Linked DNA regions of Nothobranchius furzeri. The protein of the gene in region 1 purifies or fractionates together with the protein of each later gene. This does not show direct contact. Links are inferred from orthologs where the notes say so. Each region holds a gene or a part of one and is shown in the gene's direction. Other genes may lie near its edges.

Region 1 (8,081 bases):
ATCTCTGGAGTTGTTTACGGGAGGATGGGGTAGGCAATTCCGTGACTGCCTAGACCTTCTCAGGGTCTGCCTTCAGCCTCCCACTCTCGATGACAAATCCTAAAAACTTAACCGTGGTGACATGAAACATACATTTGTCAGCCTTCACATAAAGCCAGTTTTCCAGGAGGCGCTGTAACACCGACCGAACATGCTGAACATGTTGTTCTAGAGTACTTGAAAAAATTAAGATATCATCCAAATAGACAGTCACATACTTATTCAAATAATCTCCTAAGACAGAGTTCACAAGTGACTGAAACACAGCAGGAGCATTAGTCAGGCCAAAAGGCATTACCAGATACTCAAAATGTCCTAAAGGAATTTTAAACCCCGTCTTCCACTCATCTCCCTGACGGATCCGTACTAAGTGGAAGGCATTCCTGAGATCCAAGTGGCTGACAATAGTGGCGTCCTGAATGGGCTCAAAAGTGGAAGTTAACAGAGGCAGAGGATACTTGTTTTTTACAGTTATTTTGTTTAACCCCCTGTAGTCTGTGTAAGGCCTGAGCATTCCCTCCTTTTTTGGAACAAAGAAAAACCCTGCTCCCAGAGGTGAGGTGGAGGGCCTGATAAGACCGGCTGCCAGAGACTCCTGGATGTAACTCTCCATACTCTCCCTCTCAGGCTTGGAAAGGTGATATAGGCAACTGGAGGCAAGTGGAGCTCCAGGCAGCAACTCAATGCTGCAGTCAAAAGGTCTGTGTGGGGGAAGAGAAGAAGCACGGTCTTTGTTGAATACCTGTCTGAGGTCATGGTAGACCAGAGGTACTTTGGAGAGATCAATCTCTTCTGCAGAAGGGATTGTGGGGCTGTGGAAGGTTGGTGAGGCTGAGCGAAGGCAAACTTGAGAACACTCTGGACTCCATCCTTCTATCCGGTTGGTTTTCCAGTTCAGCTGGGGGTTGTAGCGTTTCAACCAAGAGTGGCCCAGGACGAACGGGGACTGGGGAGAGGGAAATACAAAAAATGCCAGACGTTCTGTGTGGTTACCTGACACTCTTAACTGTAGGGGAATGGTCTGGTGAGTGATGGTGGATAAAGCCCTGTCATCCAGTGATGACACAGGGAGAGGAGACGACAAACGAGTGGTAGGGGTATTCCACCTCTCTACCTAGCCAGGATCCAACATAGACTGCTCACAACCAGAGTCCACCAATGCCTCTAGCTGAAACTGTTCAGAATTAAAAACACAGTACACTGGATAGAACAACGGGAGCTGGAGTTTCTGCCCACCAGTAGTCCCGGTTTTACTGGTGGGCTCTGCCTTTTGCCAGTGCTGGGCAGACTCTGGCGAAGTGTCCGGGCCCCCCGCAATACAAACATAGACCTGACCTTATTCGATGTTCCCGCTCTTCTGGGGAAAGACGAGTCCAACCCATCTGCATGGGTTCATCAGTTGTGGTAGTCTCAGAAGAGGAGCGATATCCAGTCCCCTGGTTACGGTCAGGAGTGGGAGCTGGACGAGCACTGGTGACCGGGCGCTGTAGCTCCTGGTGACGTTTGTCAATGGAGATGGCAAGGCGAATGAGTCCCTCCAGAGACTGAGGTTCCTGGCACAACGCCAACTGGTCCTGGACTCGATCACTGAGAGCCTCTGTGAACGCAGCAATTAGTGCTTCTTCGTTCCATGAAGTCCTTGCTGCCAAAGTCCTGAACTCCACAGACATGTCCGCCACTGATCGTCGACCCTGTGACAATGTCCAGAGTCGCTTCCTAATATCCAAAACAAATTCGGTCTGTCCAAAAGTCTGTGTGAAGTCCGTTAAAAACTCATCATGAGGTCCTAATAGAAAAGTGGCACAATGGCTCTTAGCTTCAGCCCACCGTAGGGCTCGTCCATGACGTAGTCCAACAATATATGACATTTTAATTGAGTCTGTGGAAAAAGCTCCTGGTGAGCGTTCAAATGCGAGACGACACTGAAGGAGGAAGCTATGGCAGTCCTTGAACTCACCGCCGAATGTCTGGGATGGAGGAGAAGCGGCTGGATGGAAGTGGGTGATCTCTGTGGGAACTGGAACTTCCGGTCCGGAGGCAACTGGAGCGGCCGCCTGAGGTTCCGTTCTAGGAGTCTGCGGCTGAGACACTCGGTTGTGGATCTGCCGCACCAGGGCCTCCAGCTGCTGGCAACGACTTTGGGCTGCGTTAAGCTGCTTCATTTGCAGCGGCATCGTCTGCTCCTGTTGGGACACCCTATGGAGATGATCGGTGAGAGTTGTGTCTGCAGGGTTAGCGGGTTGGCGGGATGATTCTGACATGGTCTGGGGAAGGCGTTTAACCCAGGACATGCAATCACAATAAACTCACTGATTTAATGAAAAAAAAAAAGAATGTTTATTTTAGAACGAGAACATAAGGTGCACTGGGAATTCCAGTGGAGGTCGGGAAACGGAGCGCAGCATAGGGAATTTGGGAGGTGTAGGTATTGGGAAGGGCAGGTCCAGAGTCGGGGTGTGTCCGGGTGAGGAGGTCCAGGAGAGGGAGCGTGGAGAGAGCAGGTGAGCGGATTGGATGGAGGAATGGAGAACAGCAGAGAGCTGCATCCTGAAGGGTTACGTGGCAAAGGTGAGTATCCTGATGAGTCACTGAATCCTGAGAAGTCTCTACTCCAGAGATGTTCCAAAAATCCTGAAGAAGGCGTGAGCACAAAAAAATCCACATAGATCAATAAGCCAAAAACACAAGAGGCACAAAATCACTGCAACACTAGAAAGCTGGAAACTACCGAGCTGTAGTAATCATCCCGCGTCGAGGTGTGTTCTCCAACTCCTTAAGTAGCCGGTCCCCCCGATTGCTAACCTGGCGCAGCTGGAAGCCTCCCTCTCCTGAAACACAACTCAAAGGTGGAATGTGTGAGACGAGTACTCACCCCGACTCATGACAACCTAGTTATGATTTCGTTACCAAGCAGACCAGAGAAGCCTTCACTTTGGAGTTACTATTTCATGAAGGTCTAAGCTTCTATGAGAGAATATTTTCAACGGAATGTTCTGGATGTGATACCTGGAAGCAATGAAGATTTCTACTCATTCCATGTGTGATCTTAAGCCAGACACACGTCTGTTGTTTGTTTGTAGTGAACTTAGTCTGAATGTGGCATTTCAGCTGACATGTGTATCATTAAATGTGAAATATGTTCTCATTTTAATGACTCTTCTTACATTATTCTCATTACATTTTACAGAATGATGCTTTTGAACATCTTCATAAAACAACGTGTTAAATATCCCCAGTGATGTGGGGCATTAAATATGAAACTTAAAAGGAAACCCACAAACATAAAGCATTAAATAACAATCATAATTTTAAATGTAAACCACAAAAATACAGTTTCTAACGCCACAACATGCCTCTCTATCGGAGCCCTAATGAACACCTGTCGTCCCGGCATCCTTTGCGTGTCCAATATGGAAGAACTGGCGGTGGAGGTCCGTGGCTCCAACGGCGCTTATTATAAGGTAAATACCGGCATATCATCACAGCTGTAAAAGTAGCACTTCGTTACCCAATACAGACTGTTAGCTGAAGTTTCGAGGACCGTAACTACGTGTTCCGAGTGTCTTTGAGTCCTCGAACTGTTTGTTGTTAAAGTGCAGCTAGCCAAAATTAGCAGGCTAAGCTAACGTCGGTCGCTTGTTTTTGCCAAGTGTTTTGTTTTATCGACTTTTGCCCAACACAAATGAGAGGAATCACTGTCCTTTCCGTTATACCTCAGATATTAAACACGTGAAAGCTGTTTTTTTGCATTCCCGTGACTGTAACGGTCATTAGCTAAAAGTTAGCTAACTCGCAAACTGTTGACGTCTAATAGTTGAATAAAGCTATCCGTTAAACATGTATTCCTTGTCGGGGTTGACGTTTTATTCGTTTTAGAATAACAACACATAATTGGTTTGGAGGGTATTTTTTATTTATTTTTATTTTTTACTAACGGCGTTCAGAAAGCACCACGCCTGCAACGCTCTTCACAGACTACCATATCTTCCTGTCACCGTCTATTATTTGATACTTGATCATGTTCAGGCCATCTTCGCTATGTGTGCCAGCTGTTCCCTGTCAGTCCAGAGCAGTTGGCATGTCAGCAGAGCCTCGGTGATATTGTACACTTGTAAGCTATTTCTAGACCTCGGCCCTAAAGTGATACTTTTGTATTTTCTCTTTCACTTCTCTCGGTTTCGTTTCATCCCCATGCCCCCGGTGATGCAGCTCATTATAATACCGAGATCACTGTTCCTTTTTGCTCATATGTTTACCTCAGCCATTCCCAGTTACACTGCATCTTTTAAACTCGTGAGTTACGTGAAGGTGTGACGTTCTTTTCTCTGTAAAGTCCCTGCCACACAGTTTCAGACAAGATTGTCACATGACTTTTATAAAAGACCCGCAGGCTGTTCCTCAAAAGAGATTAAATATACTTTCGAATATAAATGTCAGAATTCTTGGGTTTCATCCCCACGACTGCTGATTTAAGATGAAAGTCCAGTCAGCATTGTTGTGATCTGATGATTTACTGCAAACAATCTCCCAAATCACATCTGTTCTGCTCCACATGGTATAGATTTGATACTATATAGATTACTTGAGGGGCCATTCAGATGCAGTAAAGATCAAGTCACCCCTAAATGAACTTTTTTTTTTCTGATAAACTATATAAATGCTTGTCTAATCGTGCTGCGGACACGTGTAGTCAATAGTTTAGCACTTTAGTGCATTTTAGTTAAAATGTAAATGTTCTGCCTAAAACTGTCCATTGTGCCATTGTCAGGTTAACACTGCACTGCAGTTGAATTTAAATCTGCCATCGCTATTGGCTAAGAGGTACCCTAGAATGTTAGCTGGTACGATATGATGTCCTAATGTCGTTTTGAGCCTGTGTGTGTGTGTGTGTATTTGTTAGCAGCTCCGCCCTCTCGGTCTGCTTGGCAAGAGCATTTGCTGCATTTTTCAAACATGAAGTGGGAGTGGAGTAATACTCTGGTAGGGGGTGACTTGCTCTTTAAAGAGCAAGTCACCCCCAAATAAACTTTTTTTTGCTGATAAACTAAATAAACGAGTGTCTAATCGTGCTGCAGACACGTGTCATCAATAATTTGGCACTTCAGTGCATCTTAGTTAAAATTTAAATATTCTGCCTCAAACTGGCAGTGTTGTGCCATTGTCAGGTAAAAACTCTGCACTGTATTTTAATTTAAATCTGCCACCGCTATTGGCTAAGAAGTATGCTATGATGTAAACTGGTACATTATGATGTCACAATGCTGTCGTGAGCCTGAGTGTGTGTGTATTTGTTAGCGGCTCCGCCCTCTCGGTCTGCCAGGCAACAGCATGTGTTGCATTTTTCAAACATGAAGCGGGAGTGGAGTTAGACTCTGGTAGGGGTTGACTTGCTCTTTAAATACAAAACAAAAGCTCATTTTGAAATTCAATCTAATGAAGATGAATTTAAATTAGAAAATGTTTATTAAACTTGGCACAAGAACCAGTCTGCCCTTTAATCCCACTTGATTTAGAACCGTTCTTCATTTACTCTCAAATATATTTATTGAGCTTGAAATAAATACACAGTGTGAAGAAATTGTAATACCAGTAATGATGACACATTGATAAAGTGGTCTCTAGAAATTTAAAAGAATGACAAGTGCAGAATGTTGTGCTCTAGGATGATTCAATTCAATTCAAAAATACTTTATTAATCCCAGAGGGAAATTGATTGCTGTAGTAGCTCAGAATAATAATAATAATCAAGTCATCAAAGAGTTATTGTATATTACAATGGCTGTTGGCAGGAAGGATCTCCAGTAGCGGTCAGTGTTGCAGCGAAACTGAAGAAGCCTCTGACTGAAGACGCTCTTCCGTTGTCGGACAGTCTTGTGAAGAGAATGCTCAGGGTTGTCCATAATCTTCTTGATTATCTGGAGAATCCTTCTTTGCATTATCTCCTCCAGCGGTTCTGAAACTGTCGAAACTCTGGCTGAGTCCTTGAAAGGGCTTGGAGTTCCTCCATCTTGTTGGCCAGTGATCTCATGTTGCCCATTATGATTGATGGAAGAGATGGTTTGAATTTCCTCTTTCTCTGTCTCCGTTTTGCTCCCGCTCTGCACCCATACTTCTTGCGTTTTAGCTCATTTGGGATTTGTGGCTTCAGTTGAGGTATTATTTCAGCCTTTCCAATGTTAATCAGCTGCTACCGATTGTAAACCAGACTGTTGCCATGGTTACGCATCATAACAACTGCTCAAAAAGTGAAAAAAGCTAAAAAATAGCAGTAAAAATCCCCCAAGCTTCACAGCACCAGAAACAGAAAAGCAAAGTGTCCAAAAATACAGTTTTTCTTGAGAAACTAGAAGAAAAAATGTCCAAGAAAAGGCAAAACTTGCATATAATCAACAGAGCTACTCCAACATACGGCCACCCAGAGTAGTGCAGTTCCGGAAAGTTCCGGATGTCGACGCCAAAACAACCAAAACAAAGAGGAGACTCACCTCTTACATCAGGAAGAATCCGCGTGTTTCCAGCGTTATCCGTTCTTTCATAATCGGTTGTCGAATTGTGATCGGCAGAAGCTTTTCCGGTTCGTGCCTCACTTTTTTACAGCAGCGGCCCAAAACGATCTCCTCACACATGGATTTTCTGCTTCCTGATCACGTGACGTGTGACGTACGCGGATAAAGATCGGCCTTGGAGCTGGGATGTTTGTTCTCACGGTGCGGGGGGTATCGCGGTATTTTTTTTAAACGTGCTACATTTTCACACAATTAAATAAACCCTGTATGTCAGGAAATATTGTCCTCAGTTTGTGTCTAAATTTTGCCTAAAATGTGTTATTTTGTAATTATGTTGTTTATTTGTTTACATTTTTTCCCTTTAGTCTTTAAAATACCAATATTTGCCCATAACTTCTTATCTTTTGTCTAATTGATGTCATCATTTTAAAAATATTAGATCAGATGATACTCAGTACTCAAGTAGCTTTCTAATCAGATACTTTTTTACCCTTATTTGAGTAATAAACCATATATCAGGAAAATATTGTCCTCAGTTTGTGTTCTTCCAGTGAGCTTTGCAGATTTGGGAAAATGTCATAAATTCATAATTATTCTCAGAGAGAGACCAACTCTTATCTGCCCCTGGGAGCCCCGTAATGCATAGCGTCATTTCAACATGGGGGTGTCTGCGACACGGTTTATATGCAGGTAGCGGCGCTGCGGCTGCTTTATATAGCGACTCGTTGCATTCTCCCTCAACCCAAATCCTCGGATCACGCATTTTAGCTAAAACGCTAACGTTAGCTTGCCTTGCGTTGACTGTAGAGTTGTGGGTGATGGTCACGCAGATGTGTCATGAGATTTGAGGCGTTGCTGCCTTTCACAGACACTTTTTCTGCACGTGCTGCAAACAGGATAGCCGTGGCATCTTCTATAAACTGTCCCTCGGCATTCTTCAAATATCCAAAAGATGCCCGTACTTCCCACTTTGTCTTCCTTGAGGGATAAAAAATGTCCTGAGTGCTGCCGTCTCCTCCTCTGGTCATTATTTCAGCTTTAGCTTCAAGAAAGTTTTGGTTGTAAACAACAAAGCGAGCATGTGCCGCCGGCAACTTCAGCAGATGATACGGTGGCTGGTAAGGGTCACCGCGCTACACCGCAGCCACGGTAACCCACCGAGATAATATATGTTTTTTTTTAAACAAGACGGTTATTATTATTGTCAACTTTTTTTTACCGGGGTTTACCGCTATTCCGGTTACCGTGACAACCCTACGTACCATATGTCTGTTTTTGTGAAAAGCATAATAAAATGTGTTTTAGTCGGGTAAGCACCTTCCTCAGTAGAAATAAATGCACAGGGGGTGGATGGAGACCCATCCAAGATGAGGACCTGCTGTTACAGCAGCTCCACTAGGCAGTGCCAGTCTACGTCGTGTCTACAGATACGATGTCTGTAACTAGAGCACTAAAACAAGTGTGATCTCCAGCCAAACTTGCCCCCCCCCATCTATACATAGCCCAATCTATGTATTTATATCTATGGCTCTACTG
Region 2 (8,158 bases), on another chromosome or scaffold:
TTTGCAACTTTTAAAAATACATTTATTGTCTCGCTTCCAATCAATCAATCAATCAATCAATCAATCAATCAATCAATCAATCAATCAATCAATCAATCAATCAATCAATCACTCAATCAATCAATCAATCAATCAATCAGTCAATCAATCAATCAATCTCACTTTCATGCCTGTTGCTGCTGGAAGTCCCACTGAATTAATTATAAGCACTATGACACAGTCATAAATATTAGAGGTTTGCTGGTGGGGCTGTGGAATTAATACCAGGACTATGAGTTCTAGTGAACATGTATTTAGGTGCACAACAATACAAATTAGAAAATAAAACACAGCAAAATCAATTACAGATCATCAATATAAACCTAGTTAACACAATAGGACATGGGGCAGCAGTAGCTCAACAAGTTGAACGGGTTGTTCAGTAATCGGAAGGTTGTCGGAAGATCTTTGTCTCCCCTCTCCCTGCCACACCTGGTGTGGAGTGCGGTGCCTTGGTCTGCCTGGGTCGTGGCTCCCGGGTCAGGGAGTTTAAGATTTTTGGCATCTGCCTGACCAATCCCGGTGGCTGCCTGGTGGGGTCTGGGTCCCTGGGCTCAGCTTCGGACGGAGAATTCTGCTGTTGTGTCCTTGGGCAAGACACCTAACCCACCTCGCCTGCTGGTGGTCTGAGGGACCAGTGGTGCCTGTGCTTGGCAGCCTCACCTCCATCAGTGAGCCCCAGGGCAGCTGTGGCTACATCGTAGCTCATCCCTGCCAGTGTGTGAATGGATGAATGATGCACTGTAGTGTAAAGCACTTTGGAGTCATCTGACTCTGAAAGGTACTAGACAAGTTTATGTCATTTCTCATTTATCATGATTATTGAACAAATATTTAGTCCAATTCCTTTCCTGTTATTATTCTGCAGCTGAAACTCCTCTGTGGAAATGCGACATGAAGTTTATGACACAAATAATAAACTTTCTGATGCTAAATGAAGGAGAAGAAAGGTTTGCTACTAATGATTCTCTTGTTTCTCTTGTTCTGCTTTAAATATCTCAACAATATTTGTGCAGCATGAAATTTTAATTAGGGCCCCTGATTTAAGCACAAAATGTTTATTTTTAAACAAATATTCTAGTTGGTGATCACTAATATTATAAATAGTTATGCATCCTATGGACTTCTCATTTAGTGCTGTGCTTCTTTTATTTGTAGCTACAGTATTTTAATATGCCAAGCTGTTTGGCAACAGTAATTGTCTATGACAGGTGCCATGTTAAACTGTACTGTGGATATGTCTACATTCTGGCATGGAGATCATTTTGGATTTCAGTATAAGTGGATCTGAGTAAAACGACTGTGGATTCTTTGCAACACTGGACAGACTGATGAGAAAAGCTGGTTTGGTGGTGGACACGGAGAGGAGAGAAGCATGAAGAAACTGGTGGCTGTAATGGGCCGCACCCAGCATCTTCTGCTCAACACTATCATCAGGCAGACAAAAATGGTCAGTAACTGCCTCCTGCAGCAACATCCAACAGAATGACTCAGACCTCATCTGTTCCACTGTCTGTTAGGCTGTTGAGCTCCTCTCAGTTGAAAGAGAAAAGACACAAATGAAATGTCAATCAAATCACATCTCTAAGTGCAACAATTAACTTTGACACAGACTCTGTTTGATGTGCGTTTTAATTTATTTTTAATAAAGATTGTCAGTGTCTTCCTTCAGTCACCACTTTTACATTACAGTTTTTCTCCACTGGTTTGGCTCATTTCTTGAAACAGAAATTACATTCTCAAAATAACATGGACAAACCTCCAAACCTTTTGGCAAATGTTCACAACAGAATGGCATTTTGGGGACACTGACTATTCAGATTAGAAAGAAATGTAGTTTTGACACACGAGTGAGCTGTTTTAGGGGAGATATGAGCTTTTGCAGGTAAACCACGCTGTTATGATCAACTATCCATGTTTATTTTGACAAAAGCACCAAGAAGGATGAGAATGTCCGATTTGTGTCGAGAAATGAGCCAAAGCTATTGAGAGGGATCTTTGCCATTTTGGAGACACTGTTTAACCCTCCCACTGTCCTAATGGGTGTGACCCCGCGAGGAAAGTTAACCATTGGGCAGGGTTGATGGTTTATCCCTTGGGTCCATGTGGCAGGGGTGAGGAGTGAGCACCACCTCACCCCTGCCACATGGACCTCAAGGGATAAACCATCAATCCTGCTCTATGGTCAACTTTCCTCGCAGGGTCACCCATAAATACAGTGGGAGGGTTAAATGAGAAAGGGGTTTAGATTGAAGCCTGAGTGAACAGTTTTGAAAGAGATATGAGCTTTTGCAGGTGTTGTGCTAAACTGTAAGAGTGTTTTGCCAAATGATTTTAGAGGTTTGAGAATGAAATTTTTGTTTCAAGAAATGAGCCAAACCAATGGAGAAAACTGCAATATGCAGCCTATTTCAACTGCTTATAAAAATAAACTTCAGTCAAGCAATAATTATAAATACATTTCCCTTAAGTTACTATAGTCATTACTATTACTGCAAAGCCTCTTTCAGGGCTGCATACTTTTGCAATATATATATATATATTAGAGAAAGTCCAGTTGCCCTATCGATCGATCGATCGATCGATAGATAGATAGATAGATAGATAGATAGATAGATAGATAGATAGATAGATAGATGATAGATAGATAGATAGATAGATAGATAGATAGATAGATAGATAGATAGATAGATAGATAGATAGATAGATAGATAGATAGATGATAGATAGATAGATACATTATGTAGGATTTTAATCTTTTTAATTGAGTTCATATGTCATTTCATATGGATGCTGTACCAACGCGTCAGGATGGAAATAAAAAATATTTGTCAATTGTTACTTTTAAAATAATTGTCTTTATGGATGTGTTTGTATTTTTGTTGATTATAAAGCACTTTTAACCATTAGAATTACAGTAAAATCGATTGTGTGGAAATTAAATGTATTTTGACCTTCTCGGCACGCCGTACTCGTACAATGCGTCTCAGTTGGTGACGTAATTACGGTTGGGTCATTCAGAGTTCCCATTAACGAGCTTTGTTTGCAGGATAATATGCATTGTAGCATCAGATAATCGTTCTTGAGGTGGTCCCCTTATAAACCGACGATTGTGTTTATTCACACATCTTCGACTGGACGAAAATGACCGATCTAGCAGAGTCCCTGATCAAAGAGGGCTGGTAGGTAGCATGGTAGCTCAATGGTGCTGCTAGCCGTCTGAGCTGTCAGTTAACTGTTGAATAAAATAATTAGTCGTCACGTTGCCCTTTTTAATACTTGAGAATAAACAGCAACACTCGGAACTGCTCGACTTGTAGCAACATAGTTGGAAAGCTACACGACTACCAGAAACCACACGTCTGCTAGCTGGTTTAACTTAGCAGACGTAGCATTTGAAAGCAGACAGACGTTACTTCGTGCGTCAGACAAGAATCCGTAATAGCGTGCAGGTTCGGTCACTGATACCCGATGGCACTTGTTCAAAACCTGAACAAACAGCTCGTTTTCCAAGTGCTTTTGAAACGACGACTAACAGTGCTGCTGACTTTAATTTCTGGTTATTCTTTTAGAAATTTCAACAATCCAACGAGGCAATTACAGTTTTATTAAATTGATATGTTGTGGTTGGTCAAAATGTATTTATTTCCCTCAGAAATGCATTCATTTAGCATGAATATATCAGTTTCATGTTGTAGTGAAATTCTGCGGGAGTACATCTGAGAGACAAATGTGTTTTGAACCATTTCAGACGCAGGTGCATATTTAACACCTTTTACAACAAACAACACTAATAAAATTCCCAGTTGCAGAAATGTTTGGCTTCGCTTAATTTCACAGTCGGTGTTACTTTTGTAATGTTGCTGATAATAATAATAATAATAATAATGCAAAATGTAATCAATATTAGACTACAAAAAGTTCTAACTCCAAAATATTGATCAGATTGAACCAGAGTGTTTGTTTACATTATGTTCTCTGCAGTGTGCTTTTGTTTATGTTGTTTTACCTGAGCGTTTTGTGCAGGACTTTTAATTGTATTGACTATTTTTTTATTTGAGTTTTAACGTAATTAAAGTGATACATTAAATGTATGCACTAGAGAAAAAAATCTGTTTATGCTTTAGTGGATCTATGAAACTTGTAGACTTTGCCCTCTTTAGTTATTTTGTGAAACGTTATAAAGTTCTTAAGTCTTTTAATTTAGCAAAATAAAGCTGCATTTAGTGTTGTAACCATGTAAAATTAAATTGTAAGACTTTTCTAAATAAGAGGATGCTGCACAACTGAACTCTACGCAAAGTTGACTTTCTCTTACTTTTCAAGTCTGATTGCCTAATTAGTGCATCATATCAAACACTCTTTTTTTGCTCGTATCAGTAAATTTAGGAGGAAAGTCAATAATTTACAATAACAGCTGGAGATTTAACCCCCACTGGGTTTCAGAATATTTTAAACAATGTCTTCTGCATGAAAGACTTGCTCTCCTGCTGGCTCACCTTACTCAGCATTATTTCCTCTTCTCCTTGTGTCATATCTCACAGGTACCTCAGTGATGACGGCATAGCAGAACTGAAGGGATCGGCTGAGAAAATAACACACACTGACATCATTCGTATTGCACTCAATGTAAGTTGTATTCTCTTAGTGTTTTTGTGGTGTGACAGTAGTCTGGGTAGGAAAATGGATGTGAAAAGCATTTTAAAGGTTAATGGAAAAGGTCACATTTTTTTGCATCAGTTATCCAAGAGTCAGCATGTTTGCTGTCATCTTTTGCTTAGCATGAATTTATAAGTCATTTTTTGAAAAACTGCCTTGATTCTATCATCTTCAGTTGCTTCAGGTGCATTTCTCCATCATTCATTCATTCTTTGGTCTGTTTGTCTGATGCCTTCCTGACACAATATCTGGAATGAAAATGAAACTTTTAAAGTTGTGGAACACTGATAAACCCTCTCTACTAGGGATGAGCGGATAAAGCATTTTTGACGAATACGAGCATGAAGTGACTAAAACTCATAAATATCTGTAATCGTGCTGAAGGAAAATCCTCATTGGGTATCTGACTGCCTTCACGCTCTGTGATTGGCCAGTCACATAGAGCGCTCGCCCCTCCCTACACACAAAACTCTGCAGTCGGGAGCTCAGTCCGCGTCCGGCTTATCCACGCACACACACAGACAGTAACAGATCTCTCTGTGCTTGCTTCACTGTTGCTCACATTTCTTCAGTACTCCCTAGGTTTTCCTCAGCTCGCTTTTTTCAGTTTAATATTTAAAGTTACTTTTTTTTGTAACTTACATGGTGCATTTGACAAGACAGAGCTGAAAAACAGCTCGTGCTGCGTCGGTCACTGCCTCCGCTCTGCTCGGGGCTTTTTTGTTTTATTTTTCTCTCTCTCTCTCTCTCTCTCTCTCTCTCTCTCTCTCTCTCTCTCTCTCTCTCTCTCTCTCTCTCTCTCTCTCTCTCTCTCTCTCTCTCAATTAATGCTCATAAATAATGTTCTGATTTTATTGAAAAACTTGTTCTGTAATAGTTTCTTTACTATTGTGATCAAAAATATGTAATCTCAATTCTGAGGCTGCTCTGTAAATAGTGTTTATATAAACAATACACATAGCAACTTCTGATCAGTCCATATCAGTTTCAGACTTAAAATAATGTATTGATGTAAACCACACCTACTCCCGGTTAAACTGCACACACTTCCAGGTTAGGCCACGCCCACTCCAAATACAGATAATTTAGATGATTGAACAGATACAGATACAGATAGTGGTGTACTTGCTCATCCCTACTCTTTACTTGTTATTTCTGATTATAAGCAGTCCCTGTTGAGGTGTTCATGCAGGCTGAACATGTATATAGTCTCCTACACCTGTCTCCTGCATTATCTTCTGGTAGAAATTAGATGGTGAAACTCTAGGATTTGAAAATCCTAACAGGTCTATATCACACTGTCACTTAACATTCATGGACTCACCCATGTTGACTTGTGATGGGGGAGACTGTTGTTGGTGTTAGCATCCAGCAGAGAACATCTCGGCTAGTAGAAGCTAACCACATTAGTAAATCCACCACACAGTAGAACTCCTTCAGGCTTGAGTTATTTGTGGAGATCAAACATCAACGTTGCAGAGCAAGCAGAGTTGGTGGTAGAGTTGCATTGTTGTTAGCCAGTCAGAAGTGACATATCCAAATATCAGGAAGCAAGACTCCAAATCCTGCCTTGTTAAGCTCTCCTCTGACGTGGCATTCTGCTCGTTCCCAAAACAGGCGCATCTGTGCTTTTCTTCCCCTGAGTACGACTTGCAAGGCATTCATTCCTACTAGAGACCACTGTAAATGTATTGATTAAAGTGTCCCACACTTTTAAGGATAAAATTATTCAACCATCACAATTGTTAAATTACAGCTGTGTGTTCTCGAAACAGCAGCTGCATAAATACATAAAAGGACACTATCATTGTTCATAGGATCTCAAGTTTTTTAAATACTTCACAAAAGGAAAATTACAAAGGCGGCTTATCTGACCCACAGTATCAGATGAGTACAGAACACAGGAGCTGCATTCACAGCAGAAGCCTTGACCTTTTCAGGTTGGCCTGGAGCACTGCCAAAAGATCTGAGACGGCACTTGGACACATCACAGTGCACCTGATTCATTCGGCATGTTTTAACTTCAGGGCAGAGCTTAGAGGGCCATAAAATGGGGGTTGGTTTTACCGGAATATGCAATTAAAGAGTTTTAAGTAATTATTTAAATGTGAAAACAAACCAAATTCCTGACATCTTTCTATTATTAATTGTTGATAAATTGTACCTAGAAGGAGCCTTCTTTTTATTGTAACCAATGTCAGAACATGCCTCAGTATGATGCACAGGTCTGTAACTAAATCTGTTAAATCATTGTCATTAGATGCTCACCAAAAAGGGCCGTGTTAATTATTAAACTTTCAGTGCTTCATAATCAGCCTTTTTCCTGCTTTACTCTTACTATGACTTGTGTAATAACTGTTTTTGTTACGATGATGTGTGTTTCTTGCAGAATGATCTTAGGCCTATTGGGAGAAAATTTCTACCTTCTGATATCAACAGTGGAAGAACTGAGAAAGTAAGTGGAACAGAAATTCACAGGTTTCCTGCTAAGTGGTGAAGCACTACTGCCCTTGTTTTATGTCAGAAAGTGTTTGGAAAATGCTTGTAAATGAGTAGCTGCGGTGCAGTTCTCAGGGAAGCCACTAGATGGCGGAGACACACCAACAATATTGTGTTTAAGTTTTTTTTTTTTTTTTTGTGAAACTTAGAAAATGTTTTAGTTTTTAAAACATTGAATATTGACCCTTCTCCTTAAAAGGCTCTTAAATAAAAATAAAGCAATGTAAATTCAAATGGAAGAATGAACAAACCAGTTCTATTATAAGCTGAAAATAAAAGTCTCAAAGCCATTTAATTTCCATATCTGTTATTATCTTCAGTGCTTTGCAGCAGATTTGCCTCTCAGACCAATTTTCTTTGTTCTCTTCCAGTTGGAGGGTCCATGCGTCCTCCAGGTGCAGAAGGTGAGAAACATCTCTGCTCCTAAAGACCACGAGGAGTCCCAGGGTGCACCGCGAATGCTGCGCCTACAGATGACAGATGGGCACACCACCTGTGTTGGATTAGAGTATAAACATCTGTCCAAGATCAGGTATGGGGGCCGGGGGGGGGGGGGGGGGGGGGGGGGGGGTCAAACCAACAGATGCAGTTTAATGTGATTGTTTTGTACGTTAATATTGGCTAGTCAGATTTGCTTAGGTAAAAGTGCCACTTTTTCCCCCTTTGTGTGTGTGCGTGCATGTGTGTGTGTGTGTGTGTGCGTGTGTTTGTGCTCGTGTACTCTAATATACCAGCAACAGTGGGAAAAAAAATGCAACAATGACTAAATATCACAGTTCAGAAATTATGGATAAATTATAAAACTGTAAAGTTTTGAAAACAATAAATAAAAAATAAACTAAACAGCATTTTCTGTAGCAGTCTAAATGCAGAACAGCATGCATTTGGCCCTATCGTCACCCATTCAAAGCTAACATGTACGATTCTGTGCACACACGCTCCTCCTTCACCTCCTTGTCAA

Evidence for each region. Proteins that work in one complex are often made in the same cells at the same time.
Region 2: the proteins of fxr1 (region 1) and tdrd3 purify together in Homo sapiens (affinity purification with mass spectrometry; 3 studies listed by BioGRID and IntAct, with this or other methods). This does not show direct contact. The link is inferred for Nothobranchius furzeri from reciprocal best matches to the Homo sapiens genes FXR1 and TDRD3.

The regions. Positions count from the first base shown.
Region 1 is NC_091748.1:72,995,882-73,003,962, reverse strand, and holds the start of fxr1 (RNA-binding protein FXR1), read left to right. Parts: upstream 1-3,384; 5' UTR 3,385-3,410; coding exon 3,411-3,500; intron 3,501-8,081. UniProt on the Homo sapiens protein: mRNA-binding protein that acts as a regulator of mRNAs translation and/or stability, and which is required for various processes, such as neurogenesis, muscle development and spermatogenesis.
Region 2 is NC_091749.1:38,763,747-38,771,904, forward strand, and holds the start of tdrd3 (tudor domain-containing protein 3), read left to right. Parts: upstream 1-3,045; 5' UTR 3,046-3,183; coding exon 3,184-3,221; intron 3,222-4,583; coding exon 4,584-4,668; intron 4,669-7,087; coding exon 7,088-7,153; intron 7,154-7,568; coding exon 7,569-7,729; intron 7,730-8,158. UniProt on the Homo sapiens protein: Scaffolding protein that specifically recognizes and binds dimethylarginine-containing proteins. Plays a role in the regulation of translation of target mRNAs by binding Arg/Gly-rich motifs (GAR) in dimethylarginine-containing proteins.